Linked DNA regions of Ovis aries. The protein of the gene in region 1 interacts with the protein of each later gene in a biochemical or structural test. Links are inferred from orthologs where the notes say so. Each region holds a gene or a part of one and is shown on either strand. Other genes may lie near its edges.

What was found. The genes of interacting proteins can lie anywhere in the genome.
Region 2: of the proteins of PLK1 (region 1) and TOP2A, one has a biochemical effect on the other in vitro, tested with the Homo sapiens proteins (2 studies listed by BioGRID). The link is inferred for Ovis aries from reciprocal best matches to the Homo sapiens genes PLK1 and TOP2A.

Annotation. Positions count from the first base shown.
Region 1 is NC_056077.1:21,876,887-21,887,037, forward strand, and holds the start of PLK1 (serine/threonine-protein kinase PLK1), read left to right. Parts: upstream 1-5,009; 5' UTR 5,010-5,116; coding exon 5,117-5,518; intron 5,519-6,180; coding exon 6,181-6,349; intron 6,350-7,728; coding exon 7,729-7,873; intron 7,874-8,825; coding exon 8,826-8,919; intron 8,920-10,151. UniProt on the Homo sapiens protein: Serine/threonine-protein kinase that performs several important functions throughout M phase of the cell cycle, including the regulation of centrosome maturation and spindle assembly, the removal of cohesins from chromosome arms, the inactivation of anaphase-promoting complex/cyclosome (APC/C) inhibitors, and the regulation of mitotic exit and cytokinesis.
Region 2 is NC_056064.1:40,395,979-40,406,322, reverse strand, and holds the start of TOP2A (DNA topoisomerase 2-alpha), read left to right. Parts: upstream 1-4,378; 5' UTR 4,379-4,487; coding exon 4,488-4,508; intron 4,509-5,368; coding exon 5,369-5,524; intron 5,525-5,733; coding exon 5,734-5,824; intron 5,825-6,089; coding exon 6,090-6,153; intron 6,154-7,233; coding exon 7,234-7,379; intron 7,380-7,566; coding exon 7,567-7,664; intron 7,665-8,156; coding exon 8,157-8,369; intron 8,370-8,706; coding exon 8,707-8,880; intron 8,881-9,261; coding exon 9,262-9,363; intron 9,364-9,470; coding exon 9,471-9,608; intron 9,609-10,344. UniProt on the Homo sapiens protein: Key decatenating enzyme that alters DNA topology by binding to two double-stranded DNA molecules, generating a double-stranded break in one of the strands, passing the intact strand through the broken strand, and religating the broken strand.

The DNA of each region.
Region 1 (10,151 bases):
GGCTTTTCTCTAGTTGTGAAGAGCAGGGTATCTACTCTTTGTTGCAGTGCTCAGGCATCTCATTTCAGTGGCTTCTCTCGTTGCAGAGCATGGTCTCGAGGGCACACGTGCTCAGTAGTTCCAGTTCCTGGGCTTTAAGAGCACAGGCTCAATAGCTGTGGTACACGAGCTTAGTTGCTCCGAGGCATGTGGGATCTTCCTGGACCAGGGGTTGTTTCAGTGCCAGTGTCTCATGCATTGACAGGCAGATTCTTTACTGCTGAGCCACCAGGGAAGCCCTGGGATTTGGTTCTTGCCAGAACAACAAGGCCCTGAGAGGCAGTGTGCCAACAGGTGTGCTTTGGAGTCAGCAGAATTGAGTTGGAATTCAAGCTTGCTACCTCCTGGCTGCATGACTTTAGGCAAGTAACCTGATGTAGAAGTGCTCATTTCCTTATCTTTAGGTGGGAAAAGTAATCCTTTTCTCCTAGGGTCTTTGTGTGGATTAAATGAAATCATCTCTATAAAGCTCTTAGCCCTGTGCCTGGGATACAGTAAGTCCATAAAGGTTCACTGTTAGTGTTACTATTACTGATACCATGCAGATAGATTGTATTAACATGGCACAGTTGCAGCTATATAAATTTGAATCTCCATGTTGATAAGGACTAGAAGGGAATATGAAAACAGTTGTTAAAGGATGGCTGAAAGGGAATTAAAGTTTCTTCAATGCTTTGTAAATTTTTTAGTAAGTGTTCCTGAATGAAATAAATAAAACATACATGCAATGGGTGCTCAACAGGCCTTTGCATGTATGAATGAAAAACGCTTTTTAAATTAAAAAAAAAAAATTTTTTTGACCATGCCCTGAAGCTTGTGGGATCCTAGTTCCCCAACCAGAGATTGAACCAGTGCCCTTGGCAGTGAAAGCTGGGAGTCCCAGTCATTGGACTGCCAGGGAATTCCCTAATTTTTTTTTAATTGGTTGAATTTGTTGCTTAAAAATGTATGATAGTGGATACCCTTGGGGGGGTTTATTACTGAAAGGGGGCCTGTGCAGGAAAGAGTGAACACTGCTGGCCTGTGATGATAACCCTGTACATGCTGAATTTACTACTAGGGGTTTGAGTACATCTGCAATGAGAAAAAAAGGGAAGTTTTTTAAAAATGGCTTTGTATTTTGTGGCCGTTGTATCTGGAGATATGATAAAATTGATTTATGATGTTACATGCTTGTAATTTCATAAATGCTAGTGGAGCCATCTCAAACATGCAAATTTTAAATTAAGAAGGTATTGGTGGGGTATAGCTTCCTTGCTTTTCCTATCCATAGGTAGGTTGGAATTTAAATTCTTTGGATTTTAGAACCAGAACAAGTCTCCATACCTGATGATTTTTGCTATGATTTGTGTCTGTTGGAACCTCTGGAAAGAGGGTGACAACATAAGAAGAGAAGCACTCTCTGAATAGAAATACACATTTGGATTTTGAAAAAGCAATTAGTTAAGTTTCTAATTGGCCCTTGTTGAAATCAGATGTCTGACCCTTAGAGGTTGATGATTGTCCAGTCTGATATGCATGTTTTTGAGTGGGTCAGTTTGGACTCTGAGACTGACAAAAGGGGTACCATGCTGTCTGGCACTGCAGCACGCCTTTGCCTCTGCTGAAGAAAAGTACCCAGCTTGATTGGAATCCCCAGTTCACTGACCCTCGTTGCCTGGACCTCACTCTAAGCTGAACCCTAACACTGGCTGTCAGTACACTCTTTCAGCTTCCCAAGGAGCAGTGCTGAACTGAAAGCAGACCCAGGCTCCATGGGCAGAGTTCAGTCAGACTCTGGGACCACTGGAGATTTAGGGCCCCTCTCTGGAGCTCTAAATGGTGACAGCATACATCGTGGATGCTGGCTGTACCAACTGGGTCACATACAAATGCCCACAGGAAAGAGTCATTCTTTGACGGGACCATCTAAAATCAAGCTGCTAATCAGCTCTTTTATGTCTGATGCAGAGGCTGATTGTATCCTGACTTGTGATCCCTGCCCAAACCTGCAAGTCGGAGGAGGGCACATCACAGAGACTCTGACCGCCGGCCACCTCCTGCTTCTGACATATCAGATTCTGGGCCTTCCCTGAGGGTGGCTCGATGCTTTTGATTTGTGTGCTCAGCCTCCTGGGTGAGCCGTAACTTTACTACCACGGGTTGATAGGCTTACTCCGCCTCCTCACTTTGCCCTCTGTACACACACCTTGTAAGTCAGAGTGACTACTCTGGTGTAGCTGTCTCTGGAAAAGGACTGATCTTTTCTAGGCTGTCTCTGGGGAAAAGGGGTGGAAGGTTATATGCTGCTAAGTCACTTCAGTCGTGTCCGACTCTGTGACTCCATGGATGGCAGCCCACCAGGCTCCCCCGTCCCTGGGATTCTCCAGGAAGGTTATATAAACCCACTGTAAAAATTTTTACATTCAGGACTTCATCCTCTGTTAGTGTGCTAGGACTGCAATAACAAAATAGCACAGACTGGATGGCTTAAAAAAATAGAAATGTATTTGCTCACAGTCCTAGAGGCTAGAAGTCCAAGAGCAAGCAGTTGGCACGTTTCTCCTAAGGCCTGTCTCCTAGGCCTGCACCTGGCAGCCTTCTCACTGTATCTTCACATGGTTGCCCCTCTGTCTGAATGTCTGTGTCTTAATCTCTTCTTATAAGAACACCAGTCATATTGGATGGGCCCACCCATTTTACTTTAATCACCTCTTTGAAGGCCATATCTCCAAATACAGTCACCTTCTGTACTGGATGTTAGGACTTCAGCATATAATTTGGGGAGAACACAGTTCAGCCCATAACATATCCTGATCAATTCCTGAATATTTTTCCAGTTAAATTATATTAAAATATTTATCTGCAAAATTATTCCCATGTCTCTTGCACACAGCCCTTCTGGATGAAAGGCCTGGATGAGAATAAAAGATTATTGAAAAAATGTCAGGTTAGTATTGCTGATCAAAAGCCTGGCACCCAGGGAGCTTTGGGGGCGGGGAGAGCATTTATGATCTTCATTTCTCAGAAATATTCTGGAAACTTTCCCCTTTTCCTGAAGGAAAGCTCCCAGTGCCGTCAGCTGGAAGATTGACCCTCAGCTGGCATCTGGGTTCTTGAATTTCAGGAGAGTTCTCACCATTCCCTAAATGACAGGAGTTGCTTACTGAATTTAAACTGTGTAAACTGTGGTTTATGCTGCATGCCTGCTTTCCTTCCAGGAGTGTAGAATTTTGGTGTGTTACAGGCAGAGGGTGCCTGTGTGACCAAACCCCAGAAAAGCCCTGGGCTGGAGTCTCTGATGAGCTTCTCTGGTAGATAACATTTCACACGTGTTGTCACACTCATTGCTGGAGGAGTTGTGTCCTGTGTGACTGACTCCACTGGGAGAAGACTCTGGGAAGCTTGTGCCTGGTTTCCTCTGGATTTTGCTCTATGCACCTTTCCCTTGGCTGATTTTGCTTCATAACCTTTCACTGTAATAAATCCTAGTCATCTGTGAGTAGAACTATATGCTGAGTCCTGTAGGGGGATGGTCTTGGGCCCCCCCCCCCCCGCCCCAGGGCACAAGGAGGACTTACGGGGTGGTTGGTCGTGTACTCTTTCTCAGTCTGGGTGCTGCTTACATGAGGTGTACTCATTTTGTGAAAATTCACTGAGCTGTCCAATTAACAGATGTATACTTTTTCGGTACATAGATTCAACTTTATAAAAAGATAAAACAATATTGTACACCACAGGGATTAAAAAATAATAATTTTTAAAAACAACTCCCTTTTATTTATAAAGCATTTTAGTCACTCCTTTTTGCCAAGCATTGTGCTGAGAGCTTGGGACATGGGGTAGGAAAGATGTCTTCATTGCCTCTGAGTTTATTGGGAGTTATGTAAAGAGATAACTGATATGACTTTTGCTGACTCCTAGCAAAGACATCATAGGATGCTGGGCTTACAACTTGAGTGATTCTCAGGGTTGCCACTTAAGTATCTATGGAAGCCAGACAGGCAAAGGGGCAAAGGAGGGTTATCAGGGAACTCTGACAAACTGGGAAGGTATGTTAAGTAAGCATAGAGTTGCAACAGCTAATAGTTTTTTCAAAGTTGCATTTTTATGTGAGCTGTCTTGATTTTTCACTCCTGTATATGAATCCAAATTTTAAAAAGTGAAAGACCAAACAAAACACCTCTGCAGCCAAATTTGACCTTGGCTTACCAGTTTGCCAGGCATTCTGCCAACCTGTCATCTTTCCCTCTTACAAAACACTTGAGGGTCCACTATTTTAGGCACTGGGAAATAGAGCAGTGAGCCAGCCAGACAATTTTCTTGCAGAATGACCCTGGCGGGGGTGGTGGGGTTCTGGTACTGTACTTCTCAAACTTCAATATGTGTGGGAATCACTGGGTAGATTCTGAATTGGGGGGGTCTGCGTTGAGGCCTGAAGCTTTGGCTTTCTAACAAGCTCCCAGGTGTTGGTGATGTTGGTGGCCCCTGCTGTTATTTGAAGAAGAGTAGGGGGTTTGTCTGGAAGATGCGTTTGCCTGGCAAGCATTCTCTTTAGACTTCGATTTTAGTTTATGGGGTGATTTGGAAGAGAGCTGGTGACTTCCGGGGCGGATGTTAGGGCTCCCCCATGCTGTCTCTCATTCTAGGTCTCTATTCTCAGAGTTTATAATCTAGAAGGCGAGGTGGGGATGGAGGAAGGTGCTGGGAAAAGCTTCCTGGAGGAGGTCCTCGCGGACTGCAGGAGCTTCCCCTGCCGTCGAGAAAGGAGAAACCCTGAACGCACCCTCTTCTGGGGCGGGGTCTCAGCAGCCCCACACCAGCTTTGGTTTCCCAGGCATCCCACGTGTCTTCCGTCCGCCATCCCTGCCAATCAAGCTCCTCCCAGGGCCTGGGTGAGAGTTTAAAGGCGGCTGCAGTGCCGAGCGCTCCCAGAGTGCCGCGCGGCGGGCGGGTTTGGATTTTAAATCCCCGCGGCCAATCAGTAGCGCGTAGGCTCTTGTAACGTTCCCGGCGCCGCGTTTGAATTCGAGGAGAGGCAGAGCCGTGCCAAGCCTCTGCCTAGACCCTGCTAGGTCCGCTGAGCAACTCCGGGAACATGAGTGCGGCGGCAACTGCAGGGAAGCTGGGGCGGGCACCAGCCGACCCAGGGAAAGCGCCCGGAGTTGCAGCTCCCGGGGCTCCGACGGCCGCCCCGCCGGCGAAAGAGATTCCGGAGGTCCTAGTGGACCCTCGCAGCCGGCGGCGCTATCTACGGGGTCGCTTTTTGGGGAAGGGTGGCTTTGCCAAGTGCTTTGAGATCTCGGATGCGGACACTAAGGAGGTGTTCGCGGGCAAGATCGTGCCTAAGTCGCTGTTGCTCAAACCGCACCAAAAGGAGAAGATGTCCATGGAGATATCCATTCACCGCAGCCTCGCTCACCAGCACGTCGTAGGCTTCCACGGCTTTTTCGAAGACAACGACTTCGTGTTCGTGGTGTTGGAGCTCTGCCGCCGGAGGGTGAGTGTCGCTGCTGGGGAACTGGAACTGCCCTGGCGTCAGGGGTTGGGGCACTGGGAACCGGAGCTGCTGGGGAAGGGGCGCCCCGGGGCTCAGAGCTGCTAGGGAAGAGGTGCTGGGAACCTGGAACTGGAAATGGAGAAAGTCTTGGGGAGAGGGAAGGTTCTCGGCACTTGGGGCCTCTAGGGAAGGCGGCTTCTGAACGCTAGGAGTTGGGCGGATTGGGGGAGGTGCGGGAGAACCTTGCTTATGGACGCCAGGGCTTTGGAGTTGCTAGGTAAGGGATATTGCGGACCCTCACTTTCCCGAGTAGGGTTGGGTCAGGCAGAGGGTAGTTGGAGCCAGACTTCGGAGCTTCCGGGGGAGGGGAGGGGCAGGAAAGGGACCTGTTGCTGCCAAGAGTTCCGGGACCGGGATACTGGGGTCTCTGAGCTTCCGGAGGGGTCTGAGAGAGGGGTCCCAGGTAAGGGTTTTGGGAGGGAGCCAGTGGGAGAGGGTTGCTATGAACTGTTGCGGCCTGGTTTTGGGGGGGGGGGGAGTCTGGATCGCAGTTGTCCTGAAGAAATGGTTAGTAGCGTCCTGGCTGCCTTTACCTAATGACACTCCCTCCCTGCCTTGGGTCTGAGCACCGGCTCCCATTTCTCCTTCCCTCCTGCTCCCAGTCTCTCCTGGAGCTGCACAAGCGGAGGAAAGCTCTCACGGAGCCCGAGGCCCGCTACTACCTGCGGCAGATCGTCCTGGGCTGCCAGTACCTGCACGGAAACCGCGTTATTCACAGAGACCTCAAGCTGGGCAATCTCTTCCTGAACGAGGATCTGGAGGTGAAAATAGGTAAGGAGCTGGGACTGCAAGGGCATTTGACATGCAGTGGGAATGAGGAGGAGCTGGGAGGGAGGGTGAGGGAGAGGAAATTTGGAAAGAGACAAGGGAGAGAGGAAGAGGATGGTAGGAAGTCTGGGCTGTTGATTGGCTGTAGAATCCTCTCTTAGGACAGGAACTTAAAGAGCTACAAACCAGTGTCTTGTCTGCAGATGTGCTTTGAGGGGGGCAGTGTGTTCTATACAGTTTGTTTTTTTTTTTTAAGAATTTGGATTTGTTTTCACTTTTTAAAAATATTTTTTCAATTTACTTATTTCGGCTGCACTGGGTCTCCGCTGCTGCATGCCTTTCTCTGGTGCGGTGAGTGGGGGCTACTCTGCGTCGCATGTGCGGATTTCTCATTGCAGTGGCTTCTCCTTGTGGAGCGCAGGCTTCAGCAGTTGTGGCTCCAGCGCTCTAGAGCACAGGTTCAGTAGTTGTGGCACATGGGCTTAGGTGCTCTGTGGCACATGGGATCCTCACCGACCAGGAATGGAACCTGTTTCTCCAGCATTGGCAGGTGAATTCTTTACCACTGAGCCATCACGGAAGCCGCTCCTCATTTTCACTTTTTTAAACTGAGAGCCTTGATGTAAAACTTTGAATTTGGAGCTCCTTTTAAACACTCGAGAGCTCCAGCAGTACAGGGGTAGCGTTCCCTCAAGACAGCTCTTTGCTGTACTGAACAGCAGCTGTTCCCTTTAGATGCCCTATGGTTTGCCACATTCCCCACCCCTCCGTATCACTTCCTCACAAACTTGCCAAGTAGCCATCTTGACATTTACTTGCTTAATCCCTGAAGGTGTTTGAGTTTTGCTATCCCTGTCAGTCGGAGAAGGCAATGGCACCCCACTCCAGTACTCTTGCCTGGAAAATCCCGTGGATGGAGGAGCCTGGTAGGCTGCAGTCCATGGATCACGAAGAGTCGGACACGACTGAGCGACTTCACTTTCACTTTCATGTGTTGGAGAAGGAAATGGCAACCCACTGCAGTATTCTTGCCTGGAGAATCCCAGGGACGGAGGAGCCTAGTGGGCTGCTGTCTGTGGGGTCACATGGAGTCAGACATGACTGAAGCGACTTAGCAGATCCCTGTCAGTTCCCTTTTAGAAGTAAACCCCTCCTTTCTAAGGGGAGGGGTGATGAGAGTCTTTGGGAGGCCCTTCCCTAGGGCCAGCATGGTGGGAGGATTCCTGGGTAACAGGAATCTAGTCCTTGCTGTACACAAGGACTAGAGGCTTTGAGAGATCACTTGACCCTGGTTCTTGATGGTTACCAGCTGAACCAGCTGTCTGCATTGACAGACGACAGAAGCTGGCATCTGAGCCTCCCTCTTCCTCCCTCTGTCCCAGGGGATTTTGGACTGGCAACCAAAGTGGAGTATGACGGGGAACGGAAGAAGACCCTGTGCGGGACTCCTAATTACATAGCTCCTGAGGTGCTGAGCAAGAAAGGGCACAGTTTCGAGGTGGACGTATGGTCCATTGGGTGCATCATGTAAGTTGGGAGTTGTCTCAGGACCCACCAGTCTCAGCAAGGGGCTTTCTGGACATCTCACTTGGCAGGCTTTATCCTGCAGACCTTTCCGCCTTTGGAAAGACTGTTCCAGAGGACAGATGGTCTCTGAAGGAACCCTCATTGCTGAATTGGTATATCCTGTAGGATTCCTGCAGCCTGGGCTGTGGGTTCAGGGAATGAGGGAGGGAATGTCTCCACAAACTTGCTCTAATCCCTTGCTATTCAAAGTACGGCAGACCAGCTGCAGCATCACGTAGGAACTTGTTACGCAGAATCTCAAGACCCAGACTAACTGGATCACAATCTGTATTAAGACCCTTGAGTGATTTCTATGCACAATAAAGTATTAGAACCACTGATCTAAAAAGCAGCATTGGGTGGGAAGAATTAGGCCAGGAGTGGTGCTGGCAGGAGGAGGTCCTGTGGTCTGTCTGGGTCAAGGCCATCAGAGGTGGGTGGTGGGCAGAGAGTTGGGCCTGTTCAGGTGTTACCCCTTTTGTTGTTTCCCTGGATACTGGAGAGTTAGAAATGGCTTTCCTACTTCTTTGCCTTGGAATTTCCCACATGAAAACTTGCAGCCTAAAGTACAGAACTATTAACTGTGGGGCTGCCTCAAGGAAAGTGACCCCTGCTTGGACCTGTTCCATGTTAGCTGGCAGCCTCTGGCCCCTAGATTACCGCAGGCTATAGCTAAAAAGTCACTGGTCCATTAGAACCCAGTTTCATCACCTGTATTCTACTGAGGGTACCTCCCTGCCAGTGTCGTGGCTCCTGGGGCTGCTTAGTGAACTTGTGAATTGTCCTCTGGGGCCCCAGAGTCACAGTGAATGCCCAAAAGATGTCTGACTTCCTTTCTGGCCCTGAGAGGATTCCTCCCTGCATCTGGGTTTTGGTTGGGAGCCTTGAGCCAAATCCCTCCTTGTGCTTACAGGTATACCTTGTTAGTGGGCAAGCCACCTTTTGAGACCTCTTGCCTAAAAGAGACCTACCTCCGGATCAAGAACAATGAATACAGTATTCCCAAGGTGACTAAAACCACTTTAAGTTTACATTTGTTTTATTTAATTCCCTCCCCCACCAAGTGATTTACAGAGCCCAGCCATTTCCGGGGGAAAGAGATGGGTCAGTGCCACCCCATGGGTAAGTGTAACAGCTTTAGAGGGTCCTGTCTGAAATTGCATACAGAGGCTGATGTATGTGTACAGAAACAGTTTTTCTTGGGATGAGAGTTTGCAGGCTTTCATCCGTTGGGGAGATAACCCAAAAGACGTGAAAAACAGAGAGAAAGAGCCAGAGTAGGGGCAGACGGAGAAGTGCTGCTTAGCCTGGCTGTGGACTGTCTTGGTTCAGATGGGCTCTGCCACTTTTTAGCCAGATCACAATGGACAAATGGCCTGAGTCTTCTGAGCTGCAGTTTCCCATCTGTAAAGTGGAGTCCCTGCCCCAGAGCATCTTGCACACAGCGAGCGCTCACAGAATCTCGAACCACCGTGAAGGCGAAGTGGCGTGCTTTTGCAGCCCCCAGCAAGAGTGCATTGAGAGGGATAGTTGGCAGCAGTCTGGCACACAGCTGCTTCCACAGTTTGGCATCTTTGTCTTATGTGAAGCCAAGAGCCCTGTCTCCATCAGGATGGATGGGCTGAATCCGTTACAGAGGGTCAATTATTGGGCCGAGTAGAGCGGTTCCCAGTGTGGGGGTTGCACCTGACTGCCTCGGTGTGGGTGCTGGCTCCACCACTCACTCGGGATGTATCTTAGGCACTTGACTTCTCTGTGCCTATTTCCTCATCTGCTAAAGAGGGATGGTACTAGAGAGCTTCAGTCCTTGGGTGTTTCTCTGAGGGTTAAGTGAGTTCATCTACACGAAGTGCTTACAATATTTTGCTGGTAGATAGTAAGTACAAAGTTGATGCTAGGCTTTACTGTGCATTTGACCTACCCTGGGTTGGGTCTCCTTGCCAGGGCTCCAAGCTTGGTGCTGTGTCCCCACTTTATAGATGAAGATACAAAGGCCCAGAAAGTTGGGTTGGTTGGCACAGCTGGTGCTGAGGGACAGAACTGGGACTTACACCAGGCCTTTATGACTTCCAAGCCTTTGTTTTCAAGTGCTGTTCTAGTGGTGAGCAACTTGTCAACTTAGTAAAGCTGCCAGTGGAAACTTGGGACGTTTATAGCCACTGAACATGGTGTATTTGGGGCCGGGTAGTGGGTGGTGGTGCAGCAGCTGGGTTGGTCCTGTGTCATATCCTGCTTATGA
Region 2 (10,344 bases), on another chromosome or scaffold:
TAACAATATATCTTCATGATATTTCTATGTCAGTACACCTAGATCAACTTCACTCTATATGAAAGAAATACTGCCCTTTCAAGGGGGGTGTCCAGCTGGAGGGTGGAGCCCCTCCTCCTGCTTCTGAGCAGAGAGACAGAAAGTGGACATCTAGCAGAAATGCTTATGAAAGGATCTCATCCATATATGAAAATATAATCCAAAGGTCTTGAAAGAGCCTCAGTTTTATAAGTTGGCCTGAGAAGAGTCCCTGGAGACTCCCTGGAAAAGGGAAATTTTGAATTGGTTTTGCAAGCATTAACTACAAATTGGCACTTGCCATGGGTGCTTGCCATCTACCTCTACAGGATTAAATCAAGTGCTGCTGCAACTGCTGACCTTCGACACTCCCTGAAAGGAATCCAGGGTGGACAGCAGAAATTAGACACTCTGTACTGGGGGGTGGGGAGTTGGGGGGAAGCTTGCAGAACAGGTCTTCAGACAGTTTCAGGAGTGAATCTATGAGCCCAATTCTTGTATCCCTTCATACTTAGAAAAGCACTAAAATCCTTCATGGTGATGTCTGTTCCTCGTGACTAGCAGAAAGCTTCATGAGACTAGCAGAAAACTTTCGGTAAAATTTGTGGTTGACTGCATTTATTTCTCCTTCACCAAAATCACATATTTAACTATCCCTCCCCGTCTGCCTCTTTGGAGCAGTTTCTCAGAGTTATCTGAGGTGTTGTCTCCCAGGCTGCAGTCCTCATTTTGCCCCAAATAAAACTTAACTCGCAACTCTCATGTTGTGCATTTTTTTTAAGTCAACGGAAGAGTGGACTTGGGAAAACTGGCCAGGACAAGGGAGGAAGATCTTGACAAGGAGTAGAGGTAGTATCTGCTAATGTGTTTTGAGCACTTACTATTTGCCAAGGATCGCACTAAGTGCTTTGCATGTATTATCTCACCCTCTGTGAAGGTACTCTCATTATCCTTATTATTATTTTTTGTGTGTGTGTGTGTGGACCATTCTTTTAAAGTTCACATAAAATTTTGTTACAATACTGCTTCTGTTTTATGTTTTGGTTTTTTTGGCTGCGAGGCATGTGAGATCTTACCTTCCTGAACAGGGATCGAACCCACATCCGCTGCATTGGAAGACGAAGTCTTAACCACTGGACCACCAGGGACATCCCACATCATCTCCATTTTAGATGAAGAAACGGAAGTACAGTGAGCCTGAGTGACTCGCCCAAGGTCATACATCCAACAAATCAGCAGTCTGACTCAGGTACTCAACTTCACCCCTGTAGGTCAGAGTAGAGATGGGAATAAGGTCAGAGTATGTAGTAGTTTGGGCCCCTGCAGAGTTGGGGGAAGGTGGAAGTTGGGGAGGATCATGAGAATGATAGCAGCCCCCTCTCTCCTTGGAACTGACTCCCAATCCCTTCCTGCCTCCCACGACTATAGGCTGTCAGGCCCCCAGAACTCCCTGTTTGTGGACAATGCCTGCCAGGACACTCATCCAGACTTCCTTCCTCCCCTTCTCCCCACTCAAGTCCTGCAGGATCCTCTGTGATAGTCTCTGGAAAGGAGGAGGGGCTAAAAGAGAAACAACTTTTGTCCAGAAGAGAAACCCACCCCCTACCACCCCACCCCCACCCCCTGTACTAGAGGACTGGAAGGCTGTCTTAGGTGCTTCCATATCTCATTTAGCCCTGTGTACCTTAGATAAAGGGCTTTCCAGGTGACACTAATGGTAAAGAACCCTGCTGCCAATGCAGGAGACATAAGAGATGTGGGTTTGATCCCTGGGTCAGGAAGATCCCCTGGAGGAAGGCATGGCAACTCACTCCAATATTCTTGCCTGGAGAATCCCATGGACAGAGGAGCCTGGTGGGCTACAGTCCATAGGGTCACAAAGAGTTGCACACAACTTAGCAACTGAAGCAACTTAGCACACACACACACCTTTGATAATAGATACTGGCATGGGAAACTGAGACTCAGGGAGATATCTGATTCAGGCATGTGTGACTGCACAGTCCTTTTGACTCCCCAGCTATGCTTCAGGGCCATTGGAACAAAGACCCACACAATCAGGATCAGGCTAAAATGCATGGGGGATTTAAAACTGGATACCAGAAAACAGAACTGGAGCAGCTTATTAAATTCCTATTGCCTCATCCTCAGATGGGTCTTGCAGGGAACTGCAGACTGGGCAAGGTAGAGGCCATGAAGCAGAGGCTGCATTGCCATTTTAAGGAAGGATGCCCACCCACCCTTAATACATGGGGCCTTTGTGTTCCAAGAGATAGAAGGCAGCATGGCTGGTGTCTGACTTTCAAGGTAATCCTCTGTCTTGGGGAAGCTATAGGGAATGACAGGCTTGCCCTGGACCCCAAGCCCATCAGCCTTCTAGATGGACAGAAGCTACTGAATGGGCTTCCCTACAACTGCTCTGAGACCCTGGTGGTCTGGTGCATTAAGGTTGCCTTTCTGTATCAATGCACATGGTTGAGCAGAGTGGAGCTGTAAACAATGGAGACCAGGAAACCAAGAGGATAGGGACCAGAGCAATGCCAAAACCCTATTCCTTTGGCTTTTCCAATTATCCTAGCCTGGCAGGCTACAGTCGATAGGGTTACAAAGAGTCAGACACTACTGAAGTGACTTGGCACATAGCACATGGGCCACTTCCATCCTTGACATCCGGTCACAACATACTCTCTCCTCACTGGCCTCACTGGCCTTCCCAGAGGCTTTGCCGGCAGAGTGGGCGTTGGATACCCTGCGGAGGTTGACTTGGTTTTAGAAGGAAAAAAAGGATTAAGCCCACAAATTTATGCTAGTGTAAAGAAAACCCCTGCTTTCTGATTCTGAAACTGTTGGTCTACTGTTCTAAACACCTTATCTTCCTGTAATCCTCACACTACCCTGAGGTAATGCTGTTATTTTTATTCCCTTTTTTGAGCAGAGGAAAAGAAAGCAACTGAGAAGCTGCCTTCATCAAGATCACACAACTGGCAAAATGCCTAGTCAGGGTTGAAACTCAGGGAATAATGATTGGAAGGAGGTATTAATATTTCTGATGGAATTCACAGTCATTCAAATTGTGCAGTTATTTTTTTCTAGCATCTTGTGAGGCCAATGACTTTTCTTTTTTGTCATTTTAACATTATCGATTGAGGACAGGAAGAAAAAACACACATTTGAACATTTAAACGTCAGAGTAGTAAACATTTCGGTCTTTGGCATTTCCTAGTCAAATATGGCGGAGAAAGCAATGGCACCCCACTCCAGTACTCTTGCCTGGAAAATCCCATGGACAGAGGAGCCTGGTAGGCTGCACTCCATGGGGTCGCTAAGAGTCGGACACGGCTGAGCGACTTCACTTTCACTTTCATGCATTGGAGAAGGAAATGGCAACCCACTCCAGTGTTCTTGCCTAGAGAATCCCAGGGACGGGGGAGCCTGGTAGGCTGCCATCTATGGGGTCGCACAGAGTCGGACACGACTGAAGCGACCTAGCAGCAGCAGCAGTCAAATATGGACTCCAGGGTTCAGGGAACAACACAGAGAAGAATAAAAGTAACAACTACGAGGACATTCTGCTGGTCGTCTGAGGAAAAAGTTACTGCCTTAGAATGGCACCTAAACCATCCTCAACTCCTGAGGCGGTGACTATAAATTACCCCCTCTAACTGACAAGTCGCTGCCTCAAGCCGCTCTTTCGGGGGTTTTGAACGCTGGTCTCTCTCTTTTATGTGGCCTCTCTATGCCCTGCCGTTATACGAAAACCCCAGCTACGTTCACGTACGGCCAAGCATGGCTTTTGTTTCTTCAAAGATAAACTCTAGGGGTGGAGGGGCGGGCTTTGAGGCAGACGCCCGGTTTGCTGAACTGAACCGAATGCCCCGGCTGCTTGTCCAGAAAGCTGGCGCTCAGTTTTCCCAGGAAACGGAGCTAGGACTCCCGTTCCTTTAAAAAAAGAAAAAAGAAAAAATCAGGATGGAGGACAGTCTTCAGATTTTAGGGACCTGAAAGAAGATACCAGCTTCGGGGTATACATATCCTCTCCTTTTTTTCCCCCCAACCTGGATCCCACTTTCACAGCGCATTTTTCCGGAGTTACACAGAGAGAACAAACTACCCCTGCTCATTCGCTAGATTCCCTGTCCGTCCCTCAGCAACGACGCCGAGTGGTGTCTTTTAAAACCCTCTAGTCCCGCCTCCCTCCTCTAATTGGTTCATTCGAACGGGCCAGCTCAGCTGTTTATTGGTGAATATAAAAAAACAGCCTTGATTGGTTTCTCGGGACGGAACTGATGAGAGCGCGTCAACGATTGGCCTATCTGGTTTGGGCGGGCTAGAGGAAGGTTCAAACCGGAGGGGAAGCTCTCTCCTAACCGACGTGCGTCTGTGGAGAAGAGGCTTGCTCCGTGATTGTCTCGAGGGTCCCACCGGTTTAGTCACTTGCAGGGTTCTCGAGCCTCTTCACGACCGTCACCATGGAGGTGTCGCCACTACAGGTACAGCTCGCGGGAGGGGGGCGTCGCGGAGCCTCAGCGCGGCCCGGCATCTCTCCGGCTGCCGGTGAGAGAGAGGCGTCTGGGTCGTGGTCCGGCCGCCGAGGGCTGGGCGCGGGTTTTCCGCGTCTACTCGGGTCCCCTGGGCTCGGCGTGATCGCGAAGAGACTGAATGAAACCTTTTTCTGGTGCTAGTAGTGAAGTATTGTTGGCTGTACTGGCTTCTAGGGTGCGGCGTTGTGTTTCACTGTTTCTAGAGATTCATTTGGTCCCGGTGTAGGTCGATGGGATCGTGGTCCGCATGTAGCTTTACGCGGCACTGAGAGATGCTTTCCTCTCCCACCTGGGGCTGAAAATGGGATTGGATGACCCTAACTTTGGACAGTGCAGAGCAAGGAACAGGGTTCCCACTATGGAGCCGGCAGGTCCGATGCTCAAAATAAGTCCCTCCTGTGTTTAAAACGTTAACGTGTCCAAAGGATGGAATCCCTATCCTCCCAAACTGCTACTGTAGAATCTATTATGTGCCTGAGACCTGGTAGGCACTCAGTAGATATGTGTGGAGTACCTGAAAAAAGGGGATGTGTGCTGTTGATGGCATCTAACGCATGGAAGTATTTCCATGTCAGATACACAGGGCAAAATAATATGTCTGTTTAAACTGACACTTGGGGGGAACCTGCTGCAGTTAACTTATATTGCCATGTTTGTACAACACTATGTCAGCTCCACTGATAACCTACCAAAAGTCTGATTTGTTTTGGTGTGTGTAAGCAGATCACTATGATAGGTATTTTGTTTCTGGTTTCTGATAAACCTATGATTCAAAATCCCTTTTCTTCAATTTTTTAAAAAATTCCTAGCCTGTAAACGAAAATATGCAAGTCAGCAAAACAAAGAAAAATGAAGATGCTAAGAAAAGATTGTCTGTTGAAAGAATCTATCAAAAGAAAACACAACTGGAACATATCCTGCTCCGCCCAGACACCTACATTGGCTCTGTGGAATCAGTGACCCAGGTAAAATCAGGCTAATTAAATGTAGTTACTAAGTAGTTAAGATGAATACTTGTCCAGGTTAATTTTCTATATTTCATGTACTTTGTCTTCTGCAACTGGCCTAAGCTATCATCTACATTGTCATACTAACTGAGAAGACTTTACAGGAACCATGATAATAAAACGAAGTAGATATATAAAGTAACCCTGTTTCTTTGTCTTATTTCTAGCAAATGTGGGTTTACGATGAAGATACTGGCATTAACTATAGGGAAGTCACTTATGTTCCTGGTTTGTACAAAATCTTTGATGAGATTCTAGGTAAGTATATTCTTAATACAAAGATCTGCTGGTCAGATGTGAGAAGTATTATTCCTACCAAAAAACAGTTGGCAAAGGTTAGACAGTCTGCTGGAATCTAGGAAGTTGAGTTCTTAGAAACAGTCCTATGAATAAAAATTGCTAAATGAATACCTCATCAATGTTACTCCTGCACTGCCTGAGATTTTTTTTCTTTTTGTATCTTAGAGGTAAAGAGTGTTTTCTAAAATACTTTAACTTTTTACAAATGTGTTTTTTCTTTCAGTCAATGCTGCAGACAACAAACAAAGGGACCCAAAAATGTCTTGTATTAGAATCACAATTGACCCGTAAGTCTCCTGCTTAGTCTTTTGTTTTTTGTAGCACCCTGTTGCTGTTAATTGCATTTACTTGATTTATAGTAAAGTTGAGCATTTTTTTAATGGAATTTTGCAAAACTGCAGAAAGGTAGAGTGCTAAAATGAGCAATCTAGATAGCTACCATCTAGATCCAACAGTTATCAACACTTTGCCATATTGGTACCATCTATATTTTTAATCATTTCAAAATAAATTATAGACATTATAACATTTTATTTCTAAATATTTCAATAAACATCTCCAATAAGTTCTCTAAGTATTCCAGAGTCTATAGCTATAACTTTTTCTCATGATGCTGTTCAAACAGTAAGCCAGCAGATGGTGATAAAGAATAATTTGATCTAACTTTTCTGCTTATAAATGTCCTTTTGTGGGTAGTCAGGGTGTTGCTTCCCTTTGTTAGTATCCTAATCAGTTATAACATAAACTATACTTTAGATTCTTTTTGGGAAATGTGTTAATGATGTGCTTGAGTGCTCCTAAGGACTTGATACCATAGTCTTTGAAAAAATATTAAGCTAGTTTTAAGCTACGTGTAATGAGAACCATAGTGTGTGTCGTTAGAACTAAAATATAAGTCCAAATAAATTTTGAACATTATGTTGGTGAGCAGGGACGTTTACAATGGATGATGCTCTTTCATATTTGTTTTGCCAGTGTGCTTTGTCAGATGGGAAAGCTAAGGGAGCTGGGACAGTGCAGATGATCCTCTTAAAAGCGGTGTAATAATATTGTTTCCAAATTTTGTCCTTTCCATTGGGCAAAATTCATTTCCCTTTGTTTATCCTAACATTTTAAAGCTTCATATTTTTTCAGTATTATCAGTGTCTGCCCAGGTGTTGGAAAAGGATTGATTTTTTTTTTCCTCTTGGCTCCTATTTCATAATTGTTAGGAACTAAGTATGCTGAATTTCAGAAGGTATATATATAAAGAGTCATAAAGAAATTGAGATGTGTGTTTTAGAGACAATGGTATTTAACTATGAAAAGAATTAAGCACTAGCTTAACATCTGTTTTACAAAAAAAAAAATCAATCTTCTTTTCTTAGGGAAAACAATTTAATTAGTATATGGAATAATGGAAAAGGTATTCCTGTTGTCGAACACAAAGTTGAGAAGATGTATGTCCCAGCTCTCATCTTTGGACAGCTCCTAACTTCTAGCAACTATGATGATGAAGAAAAGAAAGTAACAGGTAGAGTACTGAGGAAAATAAAAAACACATTTGTTGCTGAAAAAATACATCTTTTCAAAGATTGTGGCCTAAAGGTTAAAAATATGGGAATAAATCTCCATAATTAAATAGCATTGCCAGTGATTAAGAAATAAAGCTGTAAATGCGATAAGAACAATTAAATCATATTTTACATTTATTTGCCCAGGTGGTCGAAATGGCTATGGAGCCAAACTGTGTAACATATTCAGTACCAAATTTACTGTGGAAACAGCAAGTAGAGAATACAAGAAAATGTTCAAACAGGTAAGTAAATGAGTATCTTGTGCCTTGATTATAAATTATGCTGTAGCAATTTATAGTGGCATTAAATTAAATGCCACTTAATTAACTTAATTTATAATCTATTAAATCATGGGAAAGGGAAGTCGCTCAGCCGTGTCCAACTCTTTGTGACACCACAGACTGTAGTCTACCAAGCTTCTCCGTCCATGGGATTTTCCAGGCAAGAGTACTGGAGTGGGTTGCCATATCCTTCTCGAGGGGATCTTCCCCACCCAGGGATCAAACCCCAGCCTCCTGCATTGCAGGCAGACGCTTTACCCTCTGAGCCACTAGGGAAGCTCATAGAAAGTTACTCATAAATGTATATTAGGGAAGTTGAGGGGTGGGGGTTGGTTTGGTTGGGTGTGTGTGTGTTTGTTTGTGTGTTTGTTTTAGGACTTGTAAATTTGTGTTATTTAATTCTAGTTTGTGAGATAACTTGAATTTTTTTCTCTCTATTCTTTATTTCCATAGACATGGATGGATAACATGGGGAAAGCTGGTGAGATGGAACTCAAGCCCTTTAGTGGAGAAGATTATACATGTATTACCTTCCACCCTGATTTGTCTAAGTTTAAAATGCAAAGCCTAGACAAAGATATTGTTGCACTGATGGTTAGAAGAGCATATGATATTGCTGGATCCACTAAAGATGTCAAGGTCTATCTCAATGGAAATAGGCTTCCAGTAAGTATTTTATTGGATGTAGGCAATGAGGTACTTACCTTTGTGACCATCGTCAAAAGCAAAGTTGATTTTTTTTTTCCTCCCATTTGTTTTTCTTACCACTTCTCAGATGTGTTCCTGTAAAGAAAACATAATGCCACATTTTAAAAAAATCAGTTAACTTACTTAAGTTCACTGAAGTCTTTCTCAAAGAATCTTATAAGTAAATCCTTTTGTGTCCTTTAGTGACCATCCTCTTATACATATCAGTGAACACCATTTCATAAGTTTTGAAGCATCTTTATTAAAACCTACTTTTTCATTTACTTAAAAAAAAATTAATACTATTATTTTTTAGGTGAAAGGATTCCGTAGCTATGTAGATCTGTATCTGAAGGACAAGGTAGATGAAACTGGCAATCCATTGAAAATTATCCATGAACAAGTAAACCACAGGTGGGAAGTATGTTTAACAATGAGTGAAAAAGGCTTTCAGCAAATTAGCTTTGTCAACAGCATTGCTACTTCCAAGGTAATTTTATTTTTGAATTATCAGTCATGATTTATCTTTACATATTTCATATAACTATTCTTGTTTTAAATATATAAAATGAACTTGAATATTTGGCTACCTTGACATCAGTTCAGTTCAGTCTCTCAGTCGTGTCCGACTCTTTGCGACCCTGTGGATCGCAGCACGCCAGGCCTCCCTGTTCATCACCATCTCCCGGAGTTCACTCAGACTCACGTCCATCGAGTCCGTGATACCACCCAGCCATCTCATCCTCTGTCATCCCCTTCTCCTCCTGCCCCCAATCCCTCCCAGAGAACTAAATTAGCTTTTTTTAAATGTTTGATTATGATTACAATTTTGAGGGTAATGCATTTACAGTTTGGTATTTTTCCTCATTAGGGTGGCAGACATGTTGATTATGTAGCTGATCAGATTGTGACTAAACTTGTTGATGTTGTGAAGAAAAAGAACAAGGGTGGTGTTGCAGTAAAAGCACATCAGGTACGATCCTTTAACACTGTTCTTTGGAGAAAGTCAAGGAAGAAGCGAAAGTCTATAAATAAAACATGAGTAAATGTTTAGTAATTTACTGTCAATTTTTACTGCAGGTAAAAAATCACATGTGGATTTTTGTGAATGCCTTAATTGAAAACCCAACCTTCGACTCCCAGACAAAAGAGAACATGACTTTACAAGTCAAGAGCTTTGGATCAACATGCCAGCTGAGTGAAAAATTCATCAAAGCTGTGAGTACTTGGAAGGAAATAAAAGATAGAAGCATCTTCCTTTATTTTCCATTGCCCTTCTCAGCTCTGCAGAAACCAAAATTCCTCCCACATGTCTTCTCTCTCTGAAAAGGAAATTAAAAAAACAACCCTTACCGCTTACCAGCTCTTACCAAGCCCTTAATTATCATCTATATGCCATCTCTATTTATTTGGCCATTACATGTCACCAGTTCAGATCACTTCTGAATTTATCTCATCTAACTACTTACCAAGCATTGAATGCCTTAAGTTGCTCTCAGTGGACACATCCAAAACTGAATCAGTTCTCTCCATACTCACTAATCGCCATTCAGGGAACTTCCCCACCCCCAAAAAACAAAAGTATGTCCTGTTTAGTTAAAGGCCCCAACCAACTGTTAGGTTGCATAAACCTAAATTCCTTAATTCAGCCTACAAGACCCTGCCATTTCTAACCTTATCTCAGTACCACTTTTCCCACATTACCTAAGTCTCACTCCTACTGGCTTTAAATTTCTCAAAAACAGAGTACTCTTTCCCTCTTTAGAGCTTTTTCATGTTTCAGACAGAAGGATTACCCTGCCTGAAACGCTTTTCACTTGGCTGACTACTTTAGGTCTTAACTGTCATTTCTTTAGGAAAACCTTTACTTTCTGTTCATTTCCCTAAAAATTTGTTCCCATAAGACACTGGCCATATATTATTATACGTGATATGCTTTCTACTTATCTCTTCA